2 linked regions of the Drosophila melanogaster genome follow. The protein of the gene in region 1 purifies or fractionates together with the protein of each later gene. This does not show direct contact. Each region holds a gene or a part of one and is shown on either strand. Other genes may lie near its edges. The genes, in order: cta and CG14854.

Evidence for each region.
Region 2: the proteins of cta (region 1) and CG14854 purify together in Drosophila melanogaster (affinity purification with mass spectrometry, with the first as the bait; one large-scale study listed by BioGRID). This does not show direct contact.

Annotation. Positions count from the first base shown.
Region 1 is NT_033779.5:22,975,805-22,992,839, reverse strand, and holds the start of cta (concertina), read right to left. Parts: upstream 11,025-17,035; 5' UTR 10,643-11,024; coding exon 10,247-10,642; intron 2,087-10,246; coding exon 1,948-2,086; intron 1,893-1,947; coding exon 1,687-1,892; intron 1,633-1,686; coding exon 1,501-1,632; intron 1,446-1,500; coding exon 1,306-1,445; intron 1,258-1,305; coding exon 897-1,257; 3' UTR 1-896. UniProt on the Drosophila melanogaster protein: May play a role in a signal transduction pathway used during gastrulation. Required specifically for the ventral furrow and posterior midgut invaginations, where it is necessary for coordinating cell shape changes.
Region 2 is NT_033777.3:14,551,323-14,566,831, reverse strand, and holds CG14854 (uncharacterized protein), read left to right. Parts: upstream 1-6,777; 5' UTR 6,778-6,784; coding exon 6,785-6,841; intron 6,842-6,897; coding exon 6,898-6,936; intron 6,937-7,041; coding exon 7,042-7,130; intron 7,131-7,195; coding exon 7,196-7,571; 3' UTR 7,572-7,666; downstream 7,667-15,509. Other genes in the region: CG31313 (uncharacterized protein), read left to right, coding at 1-24; CG14852 (uncharacterized protein), read right to left, coding at 362-886; CG8087 (uncharacterized protein), read left to right, coding at 2,050-2,478; CG14851 (uncharacterized protein), read right to left, coding at 4,012-4,470; Jig, read right to left, coding at 5,374-5,850.

The sequences.
Region 1 (17,035 bases):
CTGTGTTGCACATGATATTTAAAACATAAAGTAATATGAATACGACTACCAATTCCTATTATTACTTCCACATTGCATCAGATATAGATGGATAGAGGTGTATATATTAAATTTCCATATAATTTTTTAATTTATTTTAAATCCGTTTTAAAGTGTGGTATACAGTCACATCATTCCATTAGAAGTCGATATAACTTTTATCACCCACGTAAAAAAGTGTCTGCTGCTTTTTAAATTTGACGCACAGCGGTGATTAGCTTCTTAAAACGAAAACGCCTACGATATACTTAACGATCAATTTTGTGTAGTATATTGTAACATCCGCTTCAATATTTCATTCATTTTCAAAGAAATCAACAGATGCTACCATATAAAACATCTGTTACTTTTAACGACCATTTAAAAATATTTCAGCTGCTTTTAAAATCTCACATAAATTGGTTAATGGCTTTTCAAAACGAAGATGCACGCAAAATACATATAAAACAATATTTTTGATATTGACAACATCCGTTTTAATATATCGATAATATTAATATAAATCAACATATGCTACCATATAAAATGCATATGTTAAAAAGTTGTTATTAATATTATTATATCACAAATACCACGATAACTAAGTTTGCCGATGGGTTTAAATAAGTCTATATGCATATTAAAATGCTGTAGTCTCGGTTTTTATCATTATATATAGTTATTTATCATAGTTACCGAAGGATTTCACTGTAGCTTAACTTCACGTGTCTAAGGCATTGAAAACCATGTGCATTTCCCTTTGAATTGCAAATAGCTTCAGCAAGGGTCAGTCTCACGATTGTAAAATTCTGTTCATGGGTCGTTTAAAATAACTGCAAGTTCTTACTCTTCATTTTTGTTTATAAGAATGGTGGTTACTACTGAAGCATAAGAGCATTAAGGTTACGCTGCAGTATTGTGTCCTTAACAGAATTAAAGACAACATTAATATTACGCGTATCTATGGCTGTGGTAAAATGATGGTAGATCCTACTTATGCTACTACTGCGACGAACGCTCATAAACATTTGTAGTATGAAGTTCTGAACATCTAAAACTGAGTGTGGATTTCCGTTGAAGTGCGGATAGTACCAGCGAATGTCAGTCTCAGGATTGCAAACTTTTTGTTCAAGCAAGTCTGTTTTGTTCAGAAATAAAATAATTGATATTCCTTTAAATGTCGCGTTGTTGACAATTGTATCAAATATATTCTTTGACTCTTCGAGACGATTGGTTTTTCTGTAACGATAATTTTTAATTAATAATCGTTAATTGATAATAATTTACCTGTCTTCCGCAAGAACTTGATCGAACTCCGAACTAGATACGAGAAATATAATGGATGTTACGGAGCTATCAAAACATCTAGTCCATTTTTGACGTTGAGTTCGCTGTCCACCAACATCAACGAACACAAATGGAATGTTCTGAAAATAACCGAGACTTTAGAGGTAATATTATATTTTTATTTAATTCACACACCTGAACTTTCACACAAAACTCATAAACACCCTTAGTTGCCTTCCGGCAATGTAATATGTCCTTGTGCGTTGGCACATAATCAGGTGTAGCTAGCCGTTGAATCTCGTCTAGGAAATAGCTTACAGAATCGCTCTAAAAACATAATTTTTAAAGTATATTATGTAATTGTGCTGCCAGTAAGCTTACAATTTGAAATTCACGTCTTCTTTCAAAAGCTCTTCTAATGCCACGATCTTGCCACAGTCGACTTATTGGTGGTGCATACTCCATAAACTTGGGTACGTCTAGTGAATTACATTCCATTAATTTGGCATCATAAGCATCCTGTTCTCTGCCGTCACTTCCCCACGCAATGTTTAATTTTTCGCGAGCGTCCAACAAGACTTGCATACCTTAAAGGTTAGTTTTCTAAGACAGAGCCTCTTCGGTATAAATATATATACGTACCTCTTATAACGTTTTGGTATATGACACTTTGGTATTCCAGCAACAGTTCATAATCAAAGTTAACTCCATGAATGATTCGCATTTGTTTAAGAAAAGTTGATTTTCCAGATTCCCCAGCACCTAAAAGCAGCAGTTTAACCTAGAACCGAATTTCGCCATGTCAGTATATCAAGTTTGTGTTGCATAAGGTATAGCTTCCCGATAGAACGCTGTCAAGTTCACCAACTATCAGACGTTAAACAATTTTTCTGGCATATATATAGAAATTGGGGAGAAAAATAAATGTGGGCGTGCCGAAGTCAGCAATTAAACTGGCGCTACGTCTCTGCCTTTGGGATCTTCATGCCTAATCTATGTAAGCTTCATGAGATCTCGGAGCTCATACGAGGGGACATGGCCAGGATGGGCCTGTGATCTTGATTCGAGCAGGTATATGTAAATATCAAAAAAATATATACTTGTTTAGAGTACCCTGATAAGATTATTCTTGACGATTGGTGAATATTGTTCCACACCTGAATAATTTCATTGGTTCAAGTATTTTTTTAAGTAACATAATTGTTCAAAACATTTTGGCTTTATAACATGGAATAATTTAAATTTCTAAAAATAATACCTTTACCAGTGCCAAAATGTTATTTTTGTGTCTTGAAATCCCTTTTGTACATAAAACAGACAGCATTAGGTAAGCGTATATCGAATAAACAGCTACAAATAGCTTAACTTCCTACGCATATTACTTGTGAACCCCTGACGCCAAAGACTTGTGATTTTCTTTTCTTCTTTTCTTTACTCTTAAAATGTAAATTAAATAAAAATATTTAAATACGGGCAAAGCCTGCACTCTAAAAATGAAATTTTTGTCTTACCGCTTGTTTAAAACTTTTCTAGAGTATAGGGCAAACACAAAACTGCACTTTCACATAATATTCCAAGGTCCAAAGTTAATAAAGGTGAAGTTGGTAACATTCAAATGCGCTTAAAATAATCCCTACATATCTTAAGGCTGACGGCGAACCGAGAAGCTTTGGGCAAAGCTAGAAGATGGCAGAGTGAGAGCTTTGCGAGAAGCGAGCTATCCTTTAGTTATTAATGTGATCGTGGTGGATTCGGACGAGGATTTTTTGCATCAAGCGCAACTATTAGCTATCTGTTAAAAAAAACTGGCTTCCACCTCCCTTCAATAGAAATGAAAAAGGCAAATTTAATACTTTATATAATGACTTATATTTACAGAAAGTTTCTTTAACTATTAGGGGGTGTCTATTTCGACTTTTAATCATATTTTCAATAAAATTATAAGTCGTTTGACGAAGAATTGTCCAAATTTTGTTAAAGACCCTATACTGCCTTGCCAAAAATTAATAATAACATGTTTAATTATAATTATTATATAATATAACTACTACAATATAACTACTATTATATAACTACTATTATATATATATTATATTATAATTAATAACATAATTAACAACAAGCACTAAATGGAACAAAACAAAACAAAAAAACGTGTTTTAAAAATAAACGGCAATTAAAGCACAGAATACAACAAAACAGTCGTACGCTCTGAGCGAGTTGAAGCGATAAAGCAGGTTGCAAACTGCTCTCTCGCTTTATGGCTTGAGCTCGCAACTCGCTTCGCTCTCGCTCTGACATCTTTCGAGCGAGTGCACTTAAAAATGTATGCAGTGGTTTATCGCTCCTTCTCTCCCAAATATTATCGCTTCGCAGACTGCTGTCAGCCTAAACGCTATTCTGTTAAAATAAATACTTTTTGCTTTACGGAGCTTTAAATGAAAAAGATCTTGTTATTCTAATGTCTTTGGTATTAGCTCAAAAAACTGGGTTCGGAAAAATCGAATTTTTGAAATTTTAAAGCTGGAATCGTTTGTGCATTTTTGCCCACCAATTAGTTTTTTCACACGTCCAGTTCACAAGAGTAAATGGGTATACTAAATTCAGAAGGCAGAAGGAAGTAATTGCGACCGTATACTTTATACTTTATATATATTCTTGATCAGGATCAATAGCCGAGTCGATCTGAGCCATGTCCGTCTGTTCGTATTAAGGTCGATATCTCAGGAACTATAAAAGGTAGAAAATTAAGATTTTATTGCAGATTCCAGAGACAGACGCAGCACAAGTTTGTTGCCCCGCCCACTCTAAAGCCCACAAAACTGGCACGCCTACACATTTGAAAAATGTGTTGCTACTTTTTAGTCTTGTAAATTTCTATCAATTTGCCAAAACTTTTGCCACGCCCATTCTAACTCCCTAATACTGCCCAAAACGTCCACGCCCGAAACTTTGTTTTAATATATGTCGGTGCATAATTTTGTAAGCTGGTGGATGTGCTAGAATATTTCACAAGAATAATAATTCCATCAGTTCGGGGAAATCATTGATATTTGCTATTGGTCGGCTGTATTTTTGTAGCTTTGGCATCTCCCGTTACAGCGCGGCGGCAGCGTGTGGTCGCTGTCGCCGAGTGTGGTTCGAAGGGTAGCACGGAGAAGAAGTGAGTGACACAAATTAATTGTGTGTAGACCTTCGATGCGTTCGAAACTCGCTGCGCGACATATACAATACATATTTAGGCAAACACATCGAACAAATATATGGAACAAAATCAAAACAATATAAAGCTAATATAATATAATTAATATTAATATTATTAGTTATTTAATTTTAAACAATTCAACAAATGTTTCAGTCTTATTTCTTAAATAGTTTCGAATATATAGATTAAAACAACATAATAGGAAGAAATGTTCACTGAAATAGCAGTGCTATGAAAAAATACTAATAAAATTCAACATTATTTAGAACTAACTTAGTTTTCCTTTTTAATGTGTGAATTAGGGTCTAATGTCTTTGTTTGCCAGCACAGCCTTACACCTACGCGGCATGGAGTCCACCAGGTCCTGGCAACGTTTGGGGGTAATTTTTGCCTACATTTTATTTTGGGTAAACCGATCTGTTTACGTGTTTCGGATCGTTATCCAGTTGGAATGTCCATTTTAAGGAAATATTGAATTCAGTATATGACAGTAGGACATCACTAAATATATTTACATATGCGTTTTGGTCTATAATACCATAAATCAAATGTTTTGGACTCATAACATTGTAAAAAGAAAACAAACCCATACCAGGATTTTACGTCCACCATGATTGAAAGTCTTGAGTGGGTGTTTTGGGTGGTACTCCGTGAGTGGAGGTCGTCGGACATACTATGGTAAACCAGTTCCACCAAATAGCACTATTTTTGACTCATCAGTCCAGTTTGACTGGCCAGTTTAGGTAGGTTTTAGAGAAGTTTAACCGTGCCTAAATATGCCTTGGGCTATGTAGGGGCGCCATTCGTGGACTCCTCGCACTTAAATTTTGATTTAGTAGTCGTCTCCAAATTATACCATCTCTGATTTCCCAGTTCAGCTCAGTCTTTACGTCCCTAGAGGATGCAAAAGGATTGACTTTGCTGTAAGTAACAATGCGTCGATCCTCTATATCTGTGGTTGTACATATGGAACCACGGTTCGGGCTTCAATTCATATTTAATGGAATTGGAATCAAAGATTTTTCGAATTTATTTATGTTTCCCTTCCTTTCTTAGCTTACTAATTAAAATTCTATTCTCTTGGGAGCAGTGCTGTCCTCTACACACTAAAATAGAATTGTTTTTATATATTTTCTTTAATTTATTGCCCTTTTAAATATTCAAATTAACGTAACCAAAATCTCTGTTTAGAATATATGCTTAAATTCTTGACTTTACGTAGGTCAAAAACTGAAACTGCTATTCCAATAATGAACAAAGTTGTAAATTTTGCTCAAGAATGTAAAGAAAATAAGTAAAACATGAAAAACAAACGGGATTTTCTTTTTTTTTCTATCTACACATTCCATTTTACAAAAATAAGTGGAATAAAAAGTCGATTCCGGAAAAGGACATGGGAAAATACCTGTGTATTTATTAGTTTCTCTTGCGCTGCTATTTCATTGAACACAGGTGTATATGGAAAAGTATCCTTTGAGTGAGTTGCTGCTGGAACTAAAGTGCCCATTTTGTATGTATGTACATTTTCGTACTCTGCGAAAGTAAGAGTAAGCAGAAAAGCAAACGACGAAAGGTATAGAAGCATATTTCCATACATAGGTACATATTTCCATCTTTGTATTTAATTATTATATTTTTATGTTGTTATTATTATTAATTATTCACAATACAGTTATGCATATATTGTCTTGCAGATGATCGCCTACATTTTTTTTATGGTTTGGCAAACGTTTTTTAATGCTGATATTTAATTTATGAGTTTGGCAAACGTATTCTCTGAGTATACCGATATTGCCTTTATATGTATTTTCTAAAGTACAGCTTTTTTCAAAATTCTAAATGGTGGGCAAACGATGTTATTGTGATTGTGAAAAAGTCAACTTTTTGATTTTCGAACATTTTTAAACCTTATCGAAATTTCAAATTCGAAAACTGGACGTGGGCAAAAAAAATTGGTGGGCAAACGATTTCAGCATTAAAATTTCACAAATTTGATTTTTCCGAAGCCAGCTTCTGTTTAGGCAAGCTGTAGGTTTTGGCTAGATTTAAACAAAGCGATTAATACATACTTCTTATATCATTGGAGAGGGTTTTTTGATTTGTTTAAACGCAGGTTACATTTTCTACCATAATTATTTGATATAAAGTATATACACTGCGCGTCATCAGATTAGCGCCCCTGCATGGCTCCGTTTCTTTTTATGTTCTGTATTTAGCCATTGCACGAAAATATATCAATGTTATTGTTTTTTGTTTACTGATACTCCCTCTCTCTTTGAGTATAAAAAAGAGGTCCTGAGAAGAACCGTTATCTTTCTAATTCTGCTTTGTTTTACTTTTGAATAACTTCCATAATTTGAAAGGTAGGTCAACAAAGAGACAATGTTGTATGCTGTTAAGTTGAAAAATTTGCTCTAATTTAGCGAAAAAATAAGAAGAGGGACGCTGTTATCCTTGCAGGAAAAATTCGAAATCATAGCTTTCTTTGAATGCGGGCTGCCTTTTCATAAAATTGCAGAAAAAACCGACAGACATCTCAAAACTGTAGACAATTTTATTAAAAACGAGCAAACTTATGGAAAGAACTATAAAAGCGGCAATAACCTTGTCTTTAACGCGGCAGATCGCATGTCCATGTCGAATACATTGCAATTCCCACGAGTCCTCCGCCAAAATTCGAAAAAAAAGTGGTGAAAAGCAGTTGAAATCGTTAATTCAAAGGGTGATTAAGAAAGCTTATCATTTAAAACACGAAAAACTGCAAAAAAAAAAAACAACTCTTAATAAGTTGCGAAAAAAGCACGCCTGAGTTTTGCTCGAGCTCACATGACCTGGTCTAAGGAGTGGCATTATGTCGAATTTTCGGACGAGATGAAATTTAATTTGGAGGAACCAGACGGCAATTGTCATTACTATCATGATTTGCGTAAAGAGGAGCACATTTTGGATCTTATTCACAGTCGGGTTGAAGGTGTCATGGTATGGGGCGCAGTATCCTATTATGTCCCCTGTGATTGGAAGTTTTTAACACCAAAAATAAACACGAAAGATTATAAGTGTGTATTAAAAACTGCATTTCCCTACTTTAAGAACGTTTTTGGAAATCTAGAATGGCATTTTCAGCACGACAATGTCCACACGTTCGGTAAAAACATGGATTCGAAGCGATAATGTAAAAGTTATGGAATGGCCACTATACTCCCAGGACCTTAATACAATAGAAAACGTGTGGGGATGGTTGGCTGGGAAGGTATACGAGGGTGGTAAGCAATATGTCACTCAAGAGAAATCGATCACCGGAAAAAAGTTCGGTTGGTCTACGATTACTTTGGATTACCTAGAAAAAATATATGATTCACTTCCCAGACGAATGTGTGAAGTCCTTGAAAACAAAGGAGAAGCAACTAATTATTAGTTTTCTTTAAAAATATTAGATTTTAAACATTTAAGTGATAATCATCTAACTTTTTTCGAAATTAATAAAAAAAAACCTAAATTGTCATAGGGGCGCTATCCTGATGTTTTTTTTCTGGTGTTTTTGTTTTTCTTTTTTATTTCAACAAAAATCTATAAACAACAAACTGCATCCCATATAAACTTTTCATTTATGAAATTTTACAACTTTTAAGGGAAAAAATTTCAAAAACTTTCGCTTAAGCAGTTTTCTAAATGTCTCACATCAAAGATTTTTACTCAAGGTGCGCTAACCTGGTGAGGCGCAGTGTACATATGTATATTATTCATCAATATGAACAAGCGAATCGAAATATTCATGCTTGTCCGACCGTTTCTAATCAAACTAGCCTCTTGTCCAAACCTCTTCTTTCCATTGCACGAAATATAAGAGATGGAGCAAGATTTATATTGTTAATTTGTTTTATGAATGGATTAACAAAATATATGTGCAAAAGTTTGTGTTATGCTCATAACCGAATTATCGGTCTAAAACCTTGTTCGTTTCCGAGAAAAATCGACTAACACGTCAAAGTAGAAAATTAGACCTGGTTGGGGCCGGTGAAGAAATTCCATGAAATATCTTCAATTGTTTTTTCAAAAACAAGACATTTAAAAACATTCCCTGACTCACCCAAAGTAAACTCCTTACCCTTTCTGTGAACAAGAAACTATTACCCTTGAACAAGTCATTGAAAAAAACTCTGCATGCTTATAAAAAACAAAATGTTGTTCTTGAATGGAGATTTATTTTAAAAAATGCCTATAACAATTAAGTCCGTTTTGCAAAAGTATTTGATAGACTGTGCCTGGCAAAAATTTTGTAATGTGGACCATTATAATGTTTTTTAAATGATGATGCAGCGCGGGCCGGGCTTTATTTCAAGGCCCGCGGGCCTTTGCCAAAAAAATTGGGTTCGGGCCTCAAATTCGTCTTTCGTGCCCTAAGAAAAAAGCCCGCAGGCAGAACCGAAAGTTAAACTTGTTTGTCACAATCTAACAGGCGAGAACATCCTCAATAACGTTAAGGAAATTATGGAAGAATACAGTTTGGATTCTAATATCGATAAATCTATTTTGTTTGTGATCGGAGAAAGTATTAAAGATGTGCGCCAGTGAAATGCTCGATTCTGAAACCATAATTCAGCTGAAAAATAATACGTTAAATTCTTTACATAAAAGATGTGCACCATAAACGGCACATTATGTTGGACTCTTCTTAAATTCTCCCGTTAAGGAAATGTGTTGCTTATCGCCAAAAGTTAAGGAGAATGTAATTGTAACTGTCAAAGCAATGCTTTCAGAAATGCAAAGTGATGAGGAGTTTTATAGGATTAAGAACTGCAAGCCCAGATAAAAAGGGGTTAGGACTGTTTGCAGAATTTCAGGATTAAAAATTTTTCAAAAAAACTTAGTTACAACTAAATTCTTATGATATTGAAATAGAAAAATATTTAAATGGCTGTGCAGCTACTTCAGACCAAAATGTGTTAGAATTTTGGAAATGTAGTGAACTCAAGTTATTGAATTGCCATTCCGGCAAGCTCAGCGAATAGCAAAAGATTATTTTCTACCTCTGGAATTGTATTAAATGAGCGATGTACACGTTTAAAATGTTCTAATTTAAAAAAAAAAATATTTTTAAATAAAAACTTGTCATAAATTATGTTTAAAACACCAAAACTGTACTAAATATTAAGTTTTTTGCAATCAACTTTGTTTACAAAATATAAGAAATATAAATATAAGAAAACCGACATACTTTAAATTAAAAAAAATTGCATTGTTTTTATTTTTTAATTTGTTCGTGTTTAGCTTGGGCAGGGCCCCGGGCTTTTTTTGGGACTAGGTTTCGTGCTCGAGACGGGACGGGCCTCAAGAAGTAGGAAGTCTTCCATTACCTAAGTAGCGTGTATCTTATACTTGCGGAGCTCACAACTATAGGATTTCTCTTGTTTTTATATTTTTCGGTTACAAATATATAGCGCTTGTTGTATGTATGTATGTATGTATGTACATATATACTACTCGACCGACTTGCCTAGTCCTGTTAATTAAGAACACATACGTATAATTCTAGAATTGTTAGCAAAAAAACGTAACTTTTTAAATTAAATATATGCTTATAACATTGTACAGAAATTACATTTTAAACACATTATAATTTTTCCGCCATTGTACATAGACTTTAATTTGTCGAATATCTCCTTTACTTCGTTGTTAACATTTAAATAAAATAACCAACAGCAAGGGTTAGAAATCGATATCCCTAAATCACCTTACCTGACGTCGAAAGGTGTGTTTTTCTTTTTCCAGGAACTTATCAATCTCTTTGGACTTGTAGCGCTGCTCCAGTTCCTCAGGGGTACTACGCAGCCTTACTAGATATGTGATAATATTTCCGCAACATCGAAAGCAAGCAAAGCGCGAGGTCTGAAGCCGACTGCCCTGAAGTCGCAGTCGCTCTGCTCCATTCGATATTAGGCCGTCTGTAGACGTGGTCGCTGCTTCTGGTCCAGTTACCGCTCCCACCCGCGTGCGATGCTCTTCCATAAGATGAGTCAGAGTACCACTAAGCGTGTCACTATCTATGTTGTTTTCGACGCCGTTCGTGATGACATTGTTGTTTGGAATGGAAATTCGTTCTTGAGTTAATTTGGTCAATGTAATGCCAGACATCGCTGGCAAGCCAACGCCTGATGCTCGCACTTTCTATATACACACACGAACACCAATACGTCAAACACTCCCCACACTAACAGCAGATGCTCATCGTCTTGCTTTCGCTTTAATTTATAAACAAACACTTTTTGAATTCTGCATATTCTAATTGTAGGCCTCATATTAGATTAAAAGGCGATGTTGCCATCTGAAAGCCATAACCATTATTTCTACATGGCATCAGACTTAAACGCAACACAAATTCCGGAATAAAGTTCACACCAATAAGACACTGAACGTGATCGTTATTAGGTTATGACACTCTCAGCCATTACATTTACGTTTCTTTAGGAATATAATTGTAATTATATATGGAGCAAACAACAGCGGTGATAATAATTTTTGCCTGTATATAAAACATAAACATTCGTGTCAACTTTGTTATACCATGTTCCCACAGATCAGTTTTTCGGTGAAATTGGTTCCATATGTGAACCAATTTGACAATATTATAAGCAACAGGTCCAGCTCTTTAGTGTAAAGAATTATTAAAAACAAATTATTATATCGGGTTTACCAGGAATGTAATTTATAATTTAATTTTAAATTTTAAAGCATATAAGATAAAAAGAAAATGAGAAGAAAATATTATTCTTTAATTGGGAACAAAACAAATCAGTTACAATAACATTAATAAAAAAATTGGTTGTAGAATATTTCTTTAAAATTAAAACTTTATTTTAATGAAGTGACTTTTGGAGAGGGCACGTTCCCTTATAGGATGACCTGTATGGGATGAAAATTAAAAAAAAAAAAACATTTTTAACTTTTGCTATGGATACAGTAGCATTGATTGGTTTAATTCGCATTCTGTTTTATTTCGATATTAGGTTGATCCAATACACTAAAGCTAGGTAAGATTCAAAAAATATTTTTATATCTTAATCTTAATATCATGGCCATTAGCTTACATAGAGAAATAAATAAATAAATATTTATTCCGTTTTGCGTGCTCGCCACCTGTGTTTAAGATTTTTGGAATTCGTTTAGATTCTTTGTAAGGCTGTCAACTAATTAAAGCTAAGCTTAATATTGTTTAAGAGAGCTGGGCAGAAGGCTTTATTTCGGAAGCGGTGATCAGACTTGATGACAGCGTACTGTACTTTGCATCCGTCTTATAGCCCGGGGTGCAGCATGGCCGCCCTGGACGGCGGAACTACCAGGGTTCGAATAAACAATGTCACATCGAATTCAAACATTTTACACAATGTAATTCCGCAAGGTTCGCCAATTTCTGCGGTTTTATTTATGATTGCAATTGAAGAAATAAATAACATTGTAACTCGGCAAAAATATATTTACATCTCACTTTACAAAAATAAAAAATATTCATACAGTCAGCACAAAATTTTTAGAAATATTGCACGAAAATACCTCTCTGCCATTGAAAAATGCCAACTATTATAATTTGACGGAAAAAACGTTGTAATCTCTCCGCACAATAAATGATGTAAACTTTTTAAAAAATTTGGGGATGACCTTCGACTGCAAACTACTTTTCAAACAGCACTGTCAGATTCAAAGAAAACAACTGGAAACTAGATTTCACATTATTAAATTTCTATCATCTAAATATTCGTACATATAACTAAGACTCTCATAGATATTACGATTACGCACGCATTAATGCTATTTAAAATTGACTACCGTCTTCCAATCTGCGGCAGGCTAAGTGTTGGCGACAATACAAGGACAAAAGCAGGCTAAGTGTTGGCGACAAAAACAAGGGCAAAGGCAATGCTGTTGAGATTGGAGTGTGAAATTTGCTTATCAAATGGGCAGAGTTTATATTATGGGTTGGATAACTTGGCGGAATTCCGCGTAGAAGAAACTACATTGATGCTAATCTCGAAGCTGTACACCACGTCCAACTGCCTGCTAACCCATGACTTCGGAGCCATTTTCAAGCAAAAGCTGAATTTTTAATGCATATCCACTCTAACACGTTGCGCTGACTACATCAAGCAACTTGACCTCACCCTGCCTATGCACATTGGGGTTTCAAACAGCCTTCAGATCTACAAAGCTGAAAAAAAAGAAAGAAAAAGAAAAACTGAATTAATACCAATGGTTCTAAAGTCAACGACTCAACCACTTTTGTGGTCACCTTACTCTGGGTTCCCAATCATCAAGGAATCCACGGACTCGCTGACAACTGACAAACTCGCTGACAAAGCCGCCCAAGAGATGAGACTTACACCATCAGCCCTTTTGACTCTGCTTAGCTGCAAGGATATCCAAAGCTATACCTCAAAGAAAAGAGAACTCTCCGAATGGGCACTCTTAATGCACAGTTACCAGATTATTAAGCCAAATTGGATCATGTTCAAGCCACTACCGAACGTACAAGTTATTGCCCTACAGTTTGAGCAAAGACACTAGAATAACAAGATGCGTAACGGCCATACATTGGTTTGGCACTATGCAGCCACTTTTTTGGTGACGGCCAAAATTGCTCTCTTTCCGCTCGCTCACGCTGAGAACGTAAGAAATCTAAAAATAGAATTTGCTTGCTTGTGTGAGTAAAAACAAGAGACGGGAACGCGTATATGTGTGCGTGTTGTGCTAGAAGACGATTTTCGGGCCGAAATCAATTCTGATCGAAGAAATGAATTTACATTGTACATATTAGGGTAGTTTTTTTTTTTTGCCAATTTCGTAGCAATATGATAAAATAAAATAATTTTTAAAAATTTGCGCCCTGACAATTATAATTTTAAAGCTTTTTAAATTTGTTTGTTAAAATCGCCGCTCGAATTAGCTACCGTTTACACATTTATATTTATGTTTAATTCTAATTTGTCTCTCATCTGACAATTTTTTATAAGCGAAAACAGTGATGAAGTGCTCGCCACAAAATCTTCTGTAAATTGGCATTTTTCCGCCCATCTTATTAGCATTGTTGGATCCCTTTCAGGAAATCTAAACAATTTAAGAGCGGGGAAATCGCGCCTAGATTTCCGATAGTGGGATAAGCTGCACTTGTTCCCACTTATGTATCTTCTTTTTTTCTTGGCCATATCCATAAGATTATTCAAATGGGCCATTAAAATGTTTTTTTCTTTCACTTACAATTTATAAATTTCAACTCAAAACTTTGTCGAAAAGCAGCAGCACGTTATTTTAGCGCGTCAAATTACGAAAATACGTAAACACTATTCACTATTTATCACAATTACTATTTGCGCTTATATTTTTTTTCGTACTTTACTTTTGCAACAAAACGACTTTAGTTCAATATAAATTCGATTATATAGCGAAAATATCAAAAAATTGAGGAGCTCTGCGTATAGCCAACTTTAAGCAAACGGGCTAAGAGAAATTAAAAGGAAAAACAAAAAAAATTGGCGCGCTTTTCTTCCCACCCGAAATGGCGCGCTTTTTAAAATTATTGAATTGGAATATAACAAAAAAAAAAAACATACTGAAAAACAACTGAATCTAATGTGCATTTTAAATAATAAAAATGGATCATTAACATACATAAATCATATTAAGTCAAATGACTTATTAAATATACTAAATAATTAAAGGAAGTAAAATATAAATTATTATAACTACTGTAATTAAAGATTAAAAATTTTACAAAAAGAAGACATTACATTGAGAAATAAATAATTCATAAAAATAATACAAAGTAGAAAATAAAAATTTGTAAAATAAATAAAAATATGAAAACTTTTTATTGCAAAAGACACTAGAATTATTCTTTTGAGAGGGGAGGATGGTCGAGTTTCCGAGACATTATCGTTAAAAAAATCGGTCTCCCCTAATAGTGAAGCAATAGAAGCCTTCAAGAAATTAAAGTGCAGTTTGGTTTCTGCAGACGTAATACTCCACTACCCAGACTTTAAAAAAGAATTTCACCTAACAACGGACGCTTCCAATTTCGGAGTAGGCGCTGTTCTTTCACAAGAGAACAGACCAATCTCATTTTTATTGAGAGACGGAAGAAAATTATTCCACAAATGAGAAAGAAATGTTATCCATTATGTGGGCTCTAAAAAAGCACAACATTTACTTTTACGGTAAAGCAAAGGTGAAAATCTTTACTGACCATCAGCCTCTGACCCATTCTCTGAGTAGTTCGAATGGGAATGCGAGGACTTAAAGATGGAAAGCATAACTTGAGGAATATGACTATGAGATTTTCTATTAACCGGGCAGAGAAAATATTGTAGCCGACGCTCTGTCCAGAGGGCCGACAGTCGAACAGATAAACACAGTAGCCTCATCAATGCACCTCTCCGATAGTTCGAGCCATGGGCTGATACGTTGAAGCCCCGATAAGTGCAATCAAATTTTCTTCAGGAAGTCCGAGTCAGAGAATTACTCATTCAACATTCCATTCCCTACATAAATTGTTCACACCGGTTAGTCTCTTGTCAGATTTGAAGGAATATCTCAACCCATTCGTGATTAATATCCTCCGAGTTGTGGATATAATGGGGAAAATACAAATTCTCTACCCTATCCATTTTCAGGGTTTCAAGATTAGATTCTCTCAAACTAAAGTTAAAGACCTTGTTAACGAAGCCGAACAGGAGGAAGACATACTTAGGACACACAATAGAGCACACAGAAATGCTGTGGAAATTAAAGCTCAGTTCTCCGAAAGAATATACTTTCCTAAAATGTGGAAAAAAGGTACGGCTATCGTGAGTCAGGGTTTGGTGTGTAAGACCGCGAATATGACAGACATCTCACACATTCAGAAATAAAAGAAACTCCCTTGCCAGAATACCCCGGACAAATCCATATCCATCTACTCGACAGAACGACATCTGGTGCTCACGGCAATTGATAAATTTTCAAAACTGGCTATGGGAAATTACATTAAAAGCTGTAGAAGACATTAGGAGAGCCTTAAGAGATATCGGGTTTTATTATGGAGTGAATTCATGTTGACAGGCCAGCTGGGCCTGGAACATCTCGATAGAGCCATCTAAGAGCCACTGTTCACTCTGTCACAAAAAAACGAACCCTAGAGGTGTTCTTCGGTAGGATAGCTACCGTGGCTCCGGAAAAGTACGAACAAGCTAGACTGGACAATATAGACCGAATAGGGTTAATACAATGTTAGGTACTAAGCTATCAAGTAGATTTAGGAAGGAACTAGTTAAGACTTCAAGCAAGGAAGTACTTCAATATTAACAGAATCAGGAAAATTAGTACTTAAGCAAAAACATTTATTGCCCTACAAGCGATTCTCTCACATCTTGTGTTTCTTCATTGATTCTGGGTAAACAAAAGTGCCCAAAATGCTGAGCAGAAGTCTGCACAGTCTCCGCTGCGGTTAACGAACGGTTAAAGTGCCACATCAACACTTCTCCGCTGCGCCGCTTCCGGCGCCTCCACTTGATTGCTAGGGGACTTAGGGAAATATTTTGTATGTTAGTTTTAGTTTCAAATTATTAGGGAAATATTTTGTATGTTAGTTTTAATTTCAAATGATCAATTACAATAACGGGTCGCTTGCAATCTACAAAATTAAAGCAAGCTGTAATTATTAACTTACATAAACGGGAATGCGCGACCTTCATCCGCCTACACTATACACACATAAACACATACTGACGAAAACGGCGCGACGAACATGCCATCTAAGCGGGGATGAGCTCACCGTTGACCATATTATATTCTCGACGCCTGCAATCGATTGCACTCAATTAGATCGCTATTATTTGGTACACAAAGTATTTCGAAAAGTTTAAGTACCACTGTTGTGAAAATATCCCAAAAATTAACCAAAACCCTGTAGCTATCTAGTACTCATTAAATTTAATATATTTAGTATTGCATACTTAAATTTGTTAAATAAATAAATACATAAAATAGCTATACGCGTTAGAGTAGGCGTGACAATAACTTGTTTGGCACATCGGTAGAATTGGCAAAACATATAATATGAAGGGAAATTTAAAAACATGATTTTAAAAAAGTGGGCGTGGCAGCTTAGTACGGTTTGTGTGCGTTCGAGTGGGCCAGCTTTCCTAGGTATGTGCTAGTCAAAAAGTGCTATCAGTGCTATATTCTATAAGGAACGTTACGGGATCAACGTTCTTACGAATGATAACGTATGTCTGCTCTCAGACTGTTTTGTTAAAGAGTAAAAACCCTACTGCTACTATTATGTCATTGCGGGTTTTCGGTGGTCTCGATTGACTTTTGCCTTGAGCATCTTTTCTTCGACTTGTGGATTGACCTCCAATATGCGAGACATTAGTTCTTTTTTTGTGGTTAACTAGATTAGTATTTTAGGACTCTTTGTTTGAGATCGCAAATTACGCATTTAAAGTTTTTGTGAGGCAAATTTTACTACTGTCCGCGGCCCGTCTTGCGATCAATTTC
Region 2 (15,509 bases), on another chromosome or scaffold:
GATGTGCTCGAGAAGACCTGGTAGGGCGTCATTGCTGTGTTTAACCATACAATTTGCAATACAATAAAGGTGCAATCTCTGGTGCTTGAGAAATGGGACAATAATTTTTCGAAGCTTGCCTACTCCGGTGACTCCCAGAAATGATTGTGCTTATATCATGAACTGTGATAATTAATTTGTGCGGATTGTGCAGTAACCAGTTTTTCTTTATATTTAAAACAAAATGTTATCACGTCTGTGTGAATAACTAGCTAGAAGGCAAAAACCAAACCCAAGACGTCTTAACCGATCTTTTGGCGATACTTGCGAACTTTCTTTAGGATATGCAATTTATTTATACATTTATTTTGTAGGCACAAAATTAAATGCTATTGGTTCTGCTTAGCCTGTTATTCCTGTTATTGCGACGGTTCCTCCTGCGCCGAGCCTGCTGAGCCCGGCGACGTCGAGCGCGTTGAGCCCGCTGGCGGCGCCTCCGACGGTTGTTCCGCTTGTTGTTGCCGCTGTTGTTGCTGCTGCCGCTTCCGGAATCGGGGGTGCTATCTGGCGATCCTGTTGAAGGACTAGTGTTATCGCCTGTTGAAGGAGAGGTCGATGGGGAGGTGCTTCCATCAGTGGGCGTGGTGCTTCCATCAGTGGGCGTGGTGCTTCCATCAGTGGGCGTGGTGCTTCCATCAGTGGGCGTCGTGCTTCCATCAGTGGGCGTGTTGCTTCCATCAGTGGGCGTCGTGCTTCCATCAGTGGGCGTGGTGCTTCCATCAGTGGGCGTGGTGCTTCCATCAGTAGGCGTTGTGCTTCCATCGGTGGGATCGTCTTCGGCAAAACTGTAGCTGGAAAAGCACAGGACCAGAAGGCCAAGGCTCAAAAGTAGAGTGGTCGTCCTCATAGCTGGTATTGCCTTGAATGGATGGGCTTGGATGATGATCTCGAGATGATTGCTATGCTTTTATACCTCTTGTACAGTCTTTGGTACCATTGTAAGGATGGTCGACAGCTGTGACAACAAATCGATTGAAAAGAAGTTTTTCGTATTACCGAATTCCGACAGCTGCCCAAATACCACGCGAATTAGACAAAAAGCTTTTATTTAATAAATTCGTTCTTTCGTTCCTATTAAGACATTGGTTAGCCAAATACAGGCGGCATCGCGTATTTCATATCGGACAACATCAAGATCTAGTACAATATCGCGTTGATCGAAAGCTGATCGGTACACAACTAAGAAGTTAGTTAGTAGAATGGCGCTGTTTTCACAGCTGGATTTTAGGCGCTTTTTAAAATAGGCTTCTATTAATTAATTCTCAATACTCAATATTTGGCAAAACGGTCATGAAATTTTTGATTATTATTTTTCTTGCCATTTCCTATGGATTAGGACCGCATTCCAAACTGTCAAAATGATGGCTAAGCAGAAAAGAGTTTCTAACCAAATTGCCAAAGGACAATTTGTAGTTGTTGTTGTTAATTCATTATAACTGCGTAAATTCATGACTATTTTTAAAATAAAAAGAAATTAATAAATAAAGATTTATTCTCCTTTTAAAGAGTCGTTATCAATCAATTTTTCTGCCCCATAGGTGGCGCTGTACCACTGTTCTTCTTTTAGCTGAGTAACGAGTATCTGTTAGTCGAGAAAATTTAGTATAGTCCACCATGTTCTTTTAAATTATTTCGTGATTCCCAATATACTCTGGAAATCCGTAATAGTTAAAAAAATTTGTATTCCTAAAAATAATTGCATTTATTAAATTCGGTATTTGAACTTATTTCATTCAGATTTGTAAAGCCAAAATCGTTATACGCAGTTATGTTGTATGTATCATTAATACATGTATCATTAATACATCTGTACGAAGTATAAGAGTGTATTGCTCCAGCCCATCGTTTGTGCGAATTTTTCGCAAACAATATGGGAAAATAATGCAAAATGTATAGGAACCAGCTGCGTAAATTTGCCAATAATCTTTGAGTACAAAAGTCGCGTGGAATTAACTGCCTATAAAAGCCACTGCCGCCAACCATCTGCAATCCAAAATCTGAAAGTCTAAGATGAAGGCCACTACTATTCTAGCCGTTGTTTCCGTGCTCACCGCTTGTCTTTTGAGGAGCAGCGAGGCGGTGACCTGCACCGCCGATGCCACTGTCACAGGATGCATTGACTGCACCACCAATCCAACCGATTCCGAGTGCGTGGCCGAGGCAGCCGCCGATACAACCAGTACAACTGTAGCAACGCCCACCACCACCGCCACCACAACATCAGCGACGGCGACCACCACTGCGGCCTCCAGCACAAACACTTCCTCCGGACGGCGAAAGATCGTGCGCATCACCAATCTGCGCTACACCAACGTTCGGCGCATCCGCGTCAACCGGAATGGATCGGGGAGCACCACCGTCCGGAATCGGAGGCGCAGGAACAACTCCAGACGTGTCAACGTGAGGCGGGCCAATGGAAACGTTATTGTTGTCGGCTAAGTACGCGGAATTCAATAAAATGCTCAACAAGATATGGATTTGAAGAAGTAAATTTTATTTTATATCCAATTTTCTGGGAAGTATTCAATTTTTGGCTGGGTATAACAGGGATTTAGCTTCTAACAAAATCTTACCAATTTTAAAATGCGTTATGTTACAGAGAAATTTCCAGTGCATATAGAGCATTTAAAATTATAGACGGTACATTTGGGTACGTTATAATATTAAGGAGTTATTGACGATTTCTTCACCTTAACCCAATGAAATAACACATCACACATACAGAACTTTGAACTTTATTGAGCAGGGGAAACCAAAAATTTAAAAACATTAAAAAAAAACTATAAAAACTTTTTAAAAATTGGTAATTTAACTATTATATAACTCTGTTGTCTTACAAATAGAAGGTCAAGATAGGTATTATTTTGTAGAAACAGTGTTATGAAAGTTAAGAAAAACGGTAACATTGGGTTTAAATGTATTTACCTGTTGGAGAAGTAGATAATGCTCTCTTCTAATAACAAAGCTTTATAGCCAAAAAAAAAAATGTAAGACCATATTTTTCTAAATTCTCATCAAACAACAGGAGAAAACAATGCAAAAAGTCGAAACAGCTGTGTCAATAATTCGATTTAATTGATATGCTATATGATATATATATATATATTATATATATACATATATAATGTCGATGCTAACACTTAAATCAACTACATTGCAAGAGTAGCTTTGATCTTCTATTCTGGAGTCTTGATCCTGGCAGCTTGCCTGCTGGAAAGCATCTTAGCGGTCCCACCGTCGTGGGATGCATCGACTGCACCATGATGCATGACCTTCTCCACCAACAACGTGGAAGGCTTAGCCGAGGGATTCAGCTCCAAAGTCGTTTGAATCGCGAATCCCTTGAACTCGGAATGCGTGGCTGGTGGTACCACTTTGAAGTCCCCCACCGCAAATGGTGGTCAGTGAACGTTTCCCTGGAAAAAGGTCAAGTGTTGTTCATTTTCAAATAGATTACAGCTTTGATTGTTAAATAAAATTCTGCGCTATTTCTGAAAGATCCCTTTTTATTCCAAACTGCCCTTCCTAGAAGGTTTTCTTGAGTTGGTATTTAATTTTTGTGATTTTGTGTTGATCTTTTAGTAGTGCTTAATCGTAGAACTGTTCAAGGCAAGACATATAGCATACTTTTTGGATGACGCTTTTTGACTCAACTTGAATTACCCATTATTTTAGTAGATCAGACGTCGACTTGTAAATTTGAAATAAGAGATATTATTAAATTAAAAGATCAGTTTATCATTGGTTCTTATAAAAATATAATTTTTTATTTATATCATCATGAAATATCTACATATGTATATATCTTTATTCAAATAGGAAAACAACCATTTCAATTGTAATTTTATTTTAATAAAATCTAATCACTCGATTGGGTTTCTCAGTTTTACAATAATAGACAAACGTTTGATTTAATTTTCAAATATATTTATTTGATAAACAGTTTTACAATTGTAAACATTCTAACCATTTTTAACCAACTACTACGCGAACGTTTCCGCGACTGCTCCTGGAGTTGCCTTGCCTGGCGTTGTTATTCCTGCGCCTGCGGTTCCTGTTGGTGTTGGTGGAGCGCCTGCCAGAGCGGCCGTTGGAGCTGGTGGATCGAGCGGTGGTGTTGATCCGAATGCGACGGTTGACGGAGTAGCGCAGGTTGCTAACGCGGACGATCTTTCGGCTTCCGGTTCCGGTTCCGCTTGATGTCGTTGGCGCAGTGGTGGTGGTCGCAACGGTGCTCGTTGCTGGAGCCACTGTGGTTGTGGTGGATGTGGCGGCGGCTGCCTCAGCCACGCACTCGGAATCGGTTGGATTGGTGGTGCAGTTGATGCATCCAGTGACGGTGGGGTCGGCGGTGCAGGTCACCGCCTCGCTGCTCCTCAATAGGCAGGCTGCCAGGACGAGAATGGCGAAGATGATAGTTGCTGCTCTCATAGTGGATTTGTTGATTGGGGATTGTTGATTGATGGTGATGTCGGATTTTGGTTAGGCTTTTATAGTGGCTTGATCGAGGTCAAGGGGCGCTCTTCCTATCTAGCGATTTTCGCTAATATGTACGCAGCTGTTTCTATACGATCATATAAAATATTAGACATTGTTTGCTGCCAAATCGTAAACTATCGGCTGTGAATCCAAGTTGAGAAATGAACTAGTTTCACCTATTTACTCAAGAATAGAAAATGAGTATATTTTAATTTATCTGATTGAAGCCTGGTTTGACTTGTATTCATATATGATAAAACTCTCATCAGTTCGAAATATACATGACTTAAAATTTGTCAAAAATGGTGAATTTTTTCCTAAGTGTATGTATGTTATTAGAAATGGATGACTTCTTCTTTAATATTTGCCTTGTACACTATTTGCTATTGAATGTGTACCCACAAGATGATCAATGCCATCTGTGGATAGTTTTTTGCTTTTCGGTTGAAGGTTGTGTTTGTTTGTTGTACAATACAATTAGTTTAAATGGTTTCAAAATTATTTTAGAATAGAAATAGACTTGAACTTATTTGTGAAATAGATTTTCTTTATACATAAAACAAATGATTTTATCAAAATAAAGTTTTAATTATTATGTATTTCTGAGGTGAAACTATTAACTACCCAATAAAAATTTTTTCAAAGAGATATACTTCACGTTGTCGTTAAAGTACCAATTAGAAGAGATATTTTTAATTTTTGTAATAATATTTTTTCTCCTTTGTTTGAAGACAATATACTTATTTCTACACAGCGAACTCTTAAAAATTTGTTCAAACTATTTTTGTTGTTGGATGCTGAATATAGGTTTTATTTAGTATTTTTTTTTAAATTTTATAAAATCGAATGTTGGCTTTAGCCCGATTGGTTTTGCCTCCTGCGCCTTTGGGCCCTCCTCCTCCTCTGGTCCCTCCTCCTTTGTGCACGCCTCCTCCTTTGAGCGCGCCTCCTGGCCGCCATCCTCCTCCTCCTTCTGGCCACAGCAGCCGCGTTGTTTGAAGTGGGTGTGGAGTCGCTGGGCGACGTGGAGTCACTAGGTGAGCTGGTCGGAGCTGGAGTGACAGTGCCGCTTGGCGAAGTAGGCGTTGTAGATCCCGCCGGGGTCGCATCGGTGCTTCCTCCTGTGGTGGGTGTCGTGGTATCTGTTCCATCTGCGGGTTTCGTAGTGGTATTAGCGGCCTCAGCCACGCACTCCGGATCGCTTGGACTGGTGGTGCAGTCGATGCATCCAGTGACATTGGGGTCGGCGGTGCAGGTCACCGCCTCGCTACTCCTCAATAGGCAAGCGACCAGGACAAGAACTCCTGATAAGATGATCGATGTGGCCCTCATTTTCAGATTGATGGTGTCTTCGGATGGTAGCACGGTCTTATATACCGCTGTGATGATTCCAGGTGACTTATAAAACCAAAGAATATATGCAAATTTACCCAACTGGTGCTATCAAATGATTGTTTTTTTTTGATATCTATTGTATCTATATAATTGTACAAGAAGATGATAGCTAACCAATTGTCATCTGCTGGTGGGGACTTTTGTTGGAAATATATACTTGTTCAATACGTTTATCTTATACAAATAATTGCCAAATTTATTCAGCTGTTCCTATCGACTTTTGGCTTATTTCTCCGAATTCTTCACTCAGAACTTACCCTGATCGGCGTAGTTATTAAAGTTATTAAAGGTACATCACAGGGATGTCCCATCTTCAGAGTCCATTAAATATCTCAATCATTTGGGATTGTTAAGTGCGGCGGATGCAAGTCCATAAATAGTTAATATGCTATTTGTTTAGGTACAATAATCCCCTGTTTTAGATTCATGGCTTTTATGGCATAAATCCAAAGGTTTTCTTTTTATAATACATAATTGAATGCTAGTTTATGCAGCTTTCCATTTGCCAGGCACAAAATAAAGGCAGATATTAATGCAGAAAACTACCAGGCAGAAAGTTAATAGCAGTATTTTGCACTTTAAGCTCGCACTGGGTTAATTTCCCTTATTTGCGGGTATCAAAATTTTATTTGAGTACAAAATATGTTTAAATTTTAGATTCGCGTGTAAGATTTACTTTATGACTTCCCAATTGTTTGGTTGTTTTGTTTTATTTTATAATTATCATGACGTCACATCTTACATCCAAGCGAAGCGAGAACAATGAGCGTGAATATTTTAAATTCATATTTCGCAATTTAACGTAGATGCGCTGACCAGCTCTGATTTTTCAGTTAGTTTCGCTTTTAGCTGATCAGCGAACGGTTGAGCCATGGATTTGTTTAGCTCTCTGCTGCTGTGCCTGGGAATTATTTCATTACCCAATGTGGTAAGTACTTTGTGTAAATTGTTTTTGCACCCTATAATTTTTTAATGCATTTTTAGTTTACGATTTGCATTCCGCCCAATCACTGCATTGAAGATGTGAGTATGATACTGGTCTATTTAAAAACACAATTTAACTTGAACTAACACAATCTATAGTTGCTAGTCCTCCTGATTAAACACACTTTATTTTCTGTTCCACAGATGGAGGAAAGCGATGCGAAAGAGCGATTCGACTATGTACTTGGCAAATATGAGGAGGTGGAAATGAATATTCCCGGAAAACCAGTTGGGTGAGATGAACTTTAGCGCGTGTTTGGTGTTCCACTAATTGGCTTTTCATTTCCACCGCCGGCAGTTTGTATGGGAAAGTGGTTACGCATGGCGAGGCGGAGGAGCAGCACTTGGTGTTCCAGTACATGGACAATACGCTGCATGACATCATCCAGACGTGTGCGTTTGTGGTCAAGCGGAATCCCGGTGAGTGCGAGAACATCCGCACCTACTGCTCGGCCTTTCTGAGCCGCCTGCCACGCCCCCTGCTGGAGCGCAAGCCCATCAACGTGTGTGACGATGGGACGCGAGTGGCGGAGGACGAGCCGGAAACGGAAGCGGAAGACAATCCGGATGCAGATGCTGAGGGGGAGACTGATCCGCAGCAGGAGCAGGGAGTTGGTCAAGCGGAGACCACAACAGCGGAGCCGGCTAGCTCCAAATTAAGTGAATTTTATTGAGTGGGGTGCAATGTCATCCGGCGGTTTGTTCATTCATCTCGACATTTAAAAGACAATTAAACGCACAATTGTAAAATAAGTGCATAAGTAAGTGCAATTGAGATTAATTTTCTTTAACATTCAATTATCCGTTTTAAATATCTCAACTCTTATAAATTTTCACGTATTTTTATGTTTTAAGTATTTAAAAACTAAATTATACAAATAAACGAGTAATGCAATTTGTACGTTGCGTATACGACTTGTTGGCTTGCTGTAGATGGGGTTGATAATGTTTATTATAAATTAATGAGCTTTACAGAGAAAGTGCACTCTTTTTAAAAAAGTAAAACCATCTGATTTATATCATCGGAGAACTTGTAAACTAAGTATTACTCATATTTGACTACAAGTCAAACAAACAGCGCCTAAAATTATGCTTACTTCCAATGTCTACTAACATTTCCCCTTGGCTACTCAATGTCACGGCTTCCCCAGATTGAGTTAGGAAGCTCTGACAGCAACAACTATGCGGCTTTTAGTTCAACAACTGACGGCCAAAAGACTAGACCAGGCCAAGTCCGGCGCCTGCGCCGATCCCACGCTGCACAGTGGGCATATTACGGCAAAAATACAAAAATCAAGTTATTCAATTAAAATTGTTCTCCACCTATTACAAACTTTTTAAAGCTATATGGATCAAACCGCAGACAGATTGCAAACAAAAATAAAATTTATTGACAACTAAATATTTTACACGTATTCAATACAAAATACTGTATAGTAACTAACTAGCACTTAGTACTTAGTACTTTACTACCGAAAACTTAAAAAAACGCCAACATTGGATATTAAGCCACTGTACTCAATGCTGACAGAGAAAACTCTCTTTCCGACAGAAAGAGAGCGAGAGGCTTGTGCCAAATAACAGTAAACAAAGCCCAGCTGCTGCTGCTGGCGGTATAAATTCGGTTTTCAGTTGTTAACGGGGCGCCAAGGCGAACTGGAGCAGCGAAATCGGAGCACCGGAGCAGGAACAAAAGCTCCAAAACGCTGCACACCCACAAAAATTTCGGAGAAGCATAGAGAAAGACCGAGCCAGAGAGATTGCTGGGCAGGCGGTGAGAGCACCTTAGTAGAGAGTTAGAGAGAGATTCTCCCCGAGATAGATTGTTATTTGTGTTTGGCGACAGTGACGGTCCGGTCCCGTGCCGCACAGAATTATCTGCTCAGTGCTAAAGTTGTACTCGTGCTGCGTAGCTCGTGCGGGCAAGGCCGTTTCTCGACACGCCCGCCCACCCACCGCCCCGCGCGCCCTCTGCCACGCCCCCAGCAGCTGGGAGCAGCAGCTGCTTTTCAGTAGTGAAGTGCGTGCGCGTTTCGCGGCAAACGGAATTGCCGCCGGTTGTAAAACAGTCACAGGATAAAATCGAAATCAGTTCAGTTCGACTCAACCCGCTTTTTGCATAATCCAAAACGTAATTCGAAGGGCGAAACTAAAAATGTATAGCGGCGCGTAAATATACTATTTGCTATTTACTTTGCCGTGCAATTTCCAGTCTGAATCGCAGCCCACCCCCCCGTTTATCAACGAAGCGCCAGTCGAGCCGTGTTATCAGCAAACGAAGCGCGACAAAAAACACAGAAAAACGTACTACAAAAAAAAAAAAAATAATAATAAAAATAAAATAGAAAGAAACAGCACAAAGTATATGGGAAACCAAAGTGAAAAGAAAATGCATTTGAGTGCGTGAGAGTGTGTGTGCTTAGGTGAGTATTAGCCGTACGATTGTGTGTGTTCGAGGGCCTCCGGCTCAGCTGAGTGCTGAGTAAACAAACAAAAACCAACCGAAGCCAAACACAGACCCCAGCACAAATACCACCGCAAATACCACCGCCACCAGCTAAATATATGGGAGCCCTCATCCACCCACACACTCGCACGCAATTATTAGCGTTCCCCAAATCCCCCAGAAATGTGCGAATTATGAAATATTTTACCCTTGAATGTCATACGTATTAGAATTAGCGGCGTGGGGACCAGCGAGCGTTACTTTTTAGCAAGTTTTTAATACCCCATCATGCGGTGGATGCTAAGGGTATGTCCAATTTCAGAAGCTCTGGAGTCAAAACGAGCCGAAACGAAGCTGAGATTAGAATTAGAAGCTGAAAATTTGATAAACATGTGCTGTTGAATTTTACTACCACATATTCTTTTATCATTCAGCACTTTATGAGGCCAAGAATGTATAACCTATTTCTTTTTCTCTTATATTTTGTTAGAAATTTGGAAAACTAGATCATACGAACAATATACTATATATCTCAATAGTATATTCATTAGTTTGTTGCCAACCCAAAAGAATCTTTCGTTCAAATTTGAGACAATATCCGCAGACCTCAAGAATGAATGCATTTGCCCACATGTTGGACATTTACTATGCCATAATTTACAATGAGATTTTGTAGAAAACAATTAAGACTATTTCAGATTAGCACATTTTCTACAATTACCTCAGCCTGAGCTAGAAATATTTACAGCAATTTTTTGCATTGAATCGCAGAATGTAACAAATATTATTGCAAATGTTATATTTAGATATTCATTTTAGGTATTAAGATTCCTATCTTATGAAATATGGTAATGAGTTTGCAAGAAAAATGAAGTTTTGTTAATTATTCCAAATGTATGCTTAGAATAAGCGTTTTTGGGCCACTTTTTGATATTCTCAAACGGATATCCCAAAGTCGGGACACTTAAAAATATAATTTAGACTCTTTTTTTGGGTCGTTCCATGGGGAATCAGAAAAGTAGCAACTAGGACTGTGCGTGGCCCAAAAAACTTTCCTGTGACGTGCGATACCTAACGCAAATTATTCGAGTGCTGCTCCAACGCATTTTGCCACTTTCCTTAGCGCGCGCAATTTTCTTCTCGGCCGCCCTTTTGGAGACCCGCCAAAGTGTCTGTGAAATCCATTAAGTTTTGTTTTCGTTTTTTATGAACAACATTGACTTTGTCAACGGTTCGCTCGCCAACATCTCCTGGACCCACACGCACTTTTCCGAAGAGCAACTGAACTGAGCAAGTCTTTTATTTTATTTTAATACCCTCTTCTTTTTGGCCACTCTCCCGCAGATTCCCCTTGGTGGATTTTTTTACAAAAATGTTGTCAAAATTTATTGACTCACTTTCGTCCTTGTATTATCCGGCTTTATCCGTCTGCTGCTGTCTCTTTGTTGTCACACCAGCGAGCGTGACAAGTTATTTCAAAGTGAACAGGAGCTTTAAGGGTCATAAACTGGGCTTTTCACAACTTTCAACAACTCCAATTAGGTTAATTATTGGTCTGGCACAGCTATATGTGAGTATTATCTTTATGAAGTACCATTGCTAGTTTATAAAGAAACTATTTGTAAAGTTCAAATGTATTTTGTGTGATTACATATCACAAATATGCTTTTAAAAGTATAGGTGTATTAATTTAAACAAAATAACTCGAGTTAAAGCATAAACCTTATGTCTGAGATCCATTAACTCAGCAATTGTTTTTCGACTACCTCTAATGAAGATCTGTATGAGCTAAATGCCCGAGAAGGATGTAAAGTAAATAGAGGAGCCGGCTAAAAGGTTCCAAAGTGCCGCACCGCACCTGACTTTAGTGTCCTGCTCTTAATCTCGTGGGATTGCCCCTGTATTCTGTTTGTCTTTTTTTCTTGTAAAATGCGTATAAGGTTGGGGCCGCGCGGATTTATAGTATATGTAGTCCCGATTTTCGTGGGGACCGCTTATAAATAGTCCCCGTTCTCGGCGATTACCCTTCGCATGCAATTTTCCCCGGCACTTGTTTGCCCATCTTCTTCTCTTTTGCTTCTTTAGGGCCGGGCACGTGCCTCTTACTTTGCGGGAAAACTGGAGCATTTTCGACGGAAGCCCCATGGCCCAAAACTCGCTCTCGGCCATGTTTATAGCGTCTGCCGTTGACTGACGTTCATTGGCTTTTGTGCGGATATTTGTTTTTGTTATTATTCCGCCATTCTCGGGCGTCCGTGTCCTTCGTCCTTCATCATTGGCCATAAAACGGTGTCTCCGAGCACATTTCGCTGGTCGCGTCGGCATCTGCGGCTGTTCTCCAGCCTTGTCTTAGTATACAGGACTCTATCTATCCGTTCATCCTTCCTCCATTTTTACAAGTTTATTTTGTTCCCGAAATTCTCTGGAATCCTTTGCGTTTCATCCTATTGTTTGTTATCGCTCTGGGACTTCTTTTTACTCATCTGTCAAGGCTTGTCCTTTCCTTTCTTCTCCAACTTCATTTAATCAGCAATTCATTTATTTAAACGCCTTCGAGAAAATCATTTTTGCTTATTGATTGAAACAGAGAAGAAAGGCTTTTGGTGGAGGCGCAAAAAAGGAAGCGCGAAGGACACGCCATCTAAGCTTAAACAGTCACTAATTCGATTTGTTGCTTTCAAAATTAGAACACAATTAGTTATAAATCCAAGTCTACTTAATTACATTTGGCGTCTACTTTGGACAATTTATGCTTTGCCCAATTAAGCTGACTCTTGTACTTGCTTCAATATGCTATATATTTATGGGCTTATTTGAATTAGATAATTTATTACATTGGAAACTGTGAGTTATATATGATAGTAATAAACATTTCACAAGAAATCGAGTTAGTTCAAGATTAAGATACGTTAGATTTCGTTTTTATGGTAGCAACAAAGTTAACTAAATTCTTAAGACTTAAATTTAATAATGATACATAGTTATTTATATTTCCAACATTGATGTAAGACAACTTAAAAACTAAGAAGTTGCACAAAATTTGTTGAAAACTAATTACTTTTCCCAATATCTTTGCAGCAAGAAGCCTGAAAAACTAGCACAAAACATAAACTGGTAAGTCACGTTACGTATACGCAGCGTTGCCGTTTAAAATCGCTTACAAACTACGTAAACGAAATGTGGAAACAAAAAGGGAAGATGGAGTTCGATCTATTAATAGCTGGCCCAAAGGATAGTTGTAAAACTTTTCCTCCAGCTGCGATTCTTTGCAAAAGACACTATCGAAGACGGATGACACGGGCACGCCCCCAATCGGTTTACTTACTTTTTCGGAAAGACGGGGCATGCGATTTTTCTACAGCTGTCGTCGGACTTTTAGCTGCCATTTGAGGAAAGAAACCACATTGGCGAAGAAAAAACAACATTCCCTGTAGAACGAAACGAGGGGGGAAAACTTCACCGTTAGCCGTTTTGTGCGGCGCTTATCCGTCTTAGCCATTTTGAGTCCCGATTCAGCCGCCACTCGCCGATATTTTTCGCAAAGTTTTGGCCACGTTTACACGGTTTCCTTCTACCAATTCTTCCTTGGCCACTGTGGCTTTTTGCCGGAAATAACACACGAGTGCGGCGGCGATAAAGGTTGTGTGTGTGTGTGTGTGTTAGCCAAGTTCGCTTTCTGTCCGCTCCCATGGCGAAAATTATTGTCTAAGGTTGTGTCGCTGTCCCCACTAACGCATAAATTTGACTGTCGCACATATCTTGCGATTTCGTTTCGCTTTCTTTCCCCGCACTTTTCTCTGTGCTCTCGCATATCCTGTTACTGCTTTTTGTGTGTTTTTGCCATTGTTTTTTCTTGTATTGTTCGGTCCTTGCCTTTTAGTTTTTTTTTCTACCGTTTATATGCTCTATTTTTAGACCTCAACACTTTTATTTTTGGTTGATACTTTTGTTCTCGCGTTTGTGGTGCAAAAAAGCTGACTGTATTGTTTTTACATCTTACTGGTTGTGGGTCAAACCCGAATTGTTTGCCAATGCGAATTACCAATTAAAAGCTTGCGACTTTGCTTTGCTCTCGACTTCGTTATCGATTGTATAATAATAAACCTGTCGGGCCACGTGGCGCCTGAACTTGCCACGTAATTATACTCTCATGTGGACGCAACTGCCGGTCGCTGAAACTCGTTATGGCCAGGAGGCAATTACGAGTAATTTTAATAACATAGATTACGCATACGCCCCGAGTGGCACTCGACGGTATCTGAAATGGGTCACGGCAGTGAGGACAATGGAAGTTCCGTTTATTGTTTAATATTTGTATGCCTAAATATTAAAACTTGAATTAGAATCGTAATTAATATTGATATGGGACCACCATCAATCATATGGACATATTGTTCGGAATTTACGTCAGCAATAAAGCTACAACTATTTGGTATTCCATTTGTCAAAATGTGGAATTTAAAGTTCCGCAAGACATTCCACCCAAACGTAAGACGGTGGAAAAACAGGTTTTAATTAAACTGAGACTTGGGGTTGGTTAAGCTTGGAAACTGTTCACTTTGGAGCGAACACACTCACGCGTTCAAGCGGAGACTTAATTACTTAGCACGACTTTCGAGGACCCACGTAGTGATGAAAAACGGTTAGCCGCACTTCAAGACACGCCCACACACGGCGAAAAGTCCTTTCGACAGCCCGGTGACCGAGCAGCGTCGGCATAATTAAATTATTCCACAACAATTGCCGCTGGAACAAGAGTCGCTCATTGAGTTAATTTGCGACAAGTCGAGTTGGCGATGGTGATGTCGACGATTTCGCTGCCGCCAAAGTTTCTGGCTGTCCTTTGCTCTGACTGTTGGTCATTTGGCTGAACTTTACGCAGAAAAAGGATTAATTAGGATTAAAAGTGTGTCGAGTGGTTGACAAAAGCCCAGAACGGTTAGCCCTCGACGGCAAAAAGCCCAACGGTGGCATCAACGAAAACAAAAAAAAAAAAAAAAAAAACGGCGGGAAAACTCGGAAGGAAAATAAAGTAAAGTAAAATACAAGTGGCTGGATGCTTTCTGACGGTTGGCGTAATCGTGCGGCATAAATAAAGTCAACCAGTTGGCCAACAATTTCAACTTGGCTGCTTGGCTGGCTAACGATGATTTCTCATTTTGTGCATGGCGCATTTAATTAACATAATTCGATATAATTCTGGATTTCGCACGCCGCCGGTTTCTGTTTGGCTCTTGCATTTAAATGAATTTAGCATAAATTACACTTTATTACACAGGCCCGATTAAATTCCGTTGTTTTGCATTTCGTGTGCTTGGGCTTGTTGATCTTGCCAAATTTAATTGAATAACAATTTCGAAATTGGCTTATAAACCACTCACCCCACCCGACCAACTCGTTCCGATGCTCAACTTTCTCGTCCCTTACCGAATTCAATTAAAACTAACAGCATTTATCGGTTTTCAATGCAATCAGTTTGGATGGGATTTCGTGTTAAAAGTCTTCACCTGACGATATCTGAGTGGCCAAGGTTTGAGTGCATGACAGAGCTGAAATTGAAATCAGTTTAATGGCAGTAAATAAATAAGTTAAGCTGTCGAAGTTCCAGCCAGCTGCCCGTTCCCATTGAAAGTATTGATCCTGTGGACGATTGAAAACATGTATGCAAACATCTCGAAACTTTTTATGAATCAGTCATTTCGCTTTGAACGCCCCAACAATGCGTCGCTAATCTAATGAAATCATTTCCATTTTCATTTCCATATCCATTTTGCTGACATTAAAGTTTTAAAACCCTGAATGACTTTGGTCAACCCTTTTGCGTTTTCGACCTTTTCGTAGAATTGCCAGTGATATTAGTTAATGCCCTGCTGCGGTCGTCCATGCGGAATTGTTATTATTTAAATGGCCTATTCATTCCGGTTCCCCTTTTTTGCGGCTAAATAGTATGCAGGGTAACGTGGATGTTATAGCACCAACGGAAGCGTAATCATACGAACTATATTATAAATATAAAAGTGTAGATGCACACAACTTCAAGATAAGAGTAGAATTCATATGATACATTTATTTTTAATATTATGCTGCTTAAGTATGTTTTCGCATCCCTTTAATACACATATTTTTAGGGTATCTAATCCGTTTATCCCGACTAAACATCAACTGC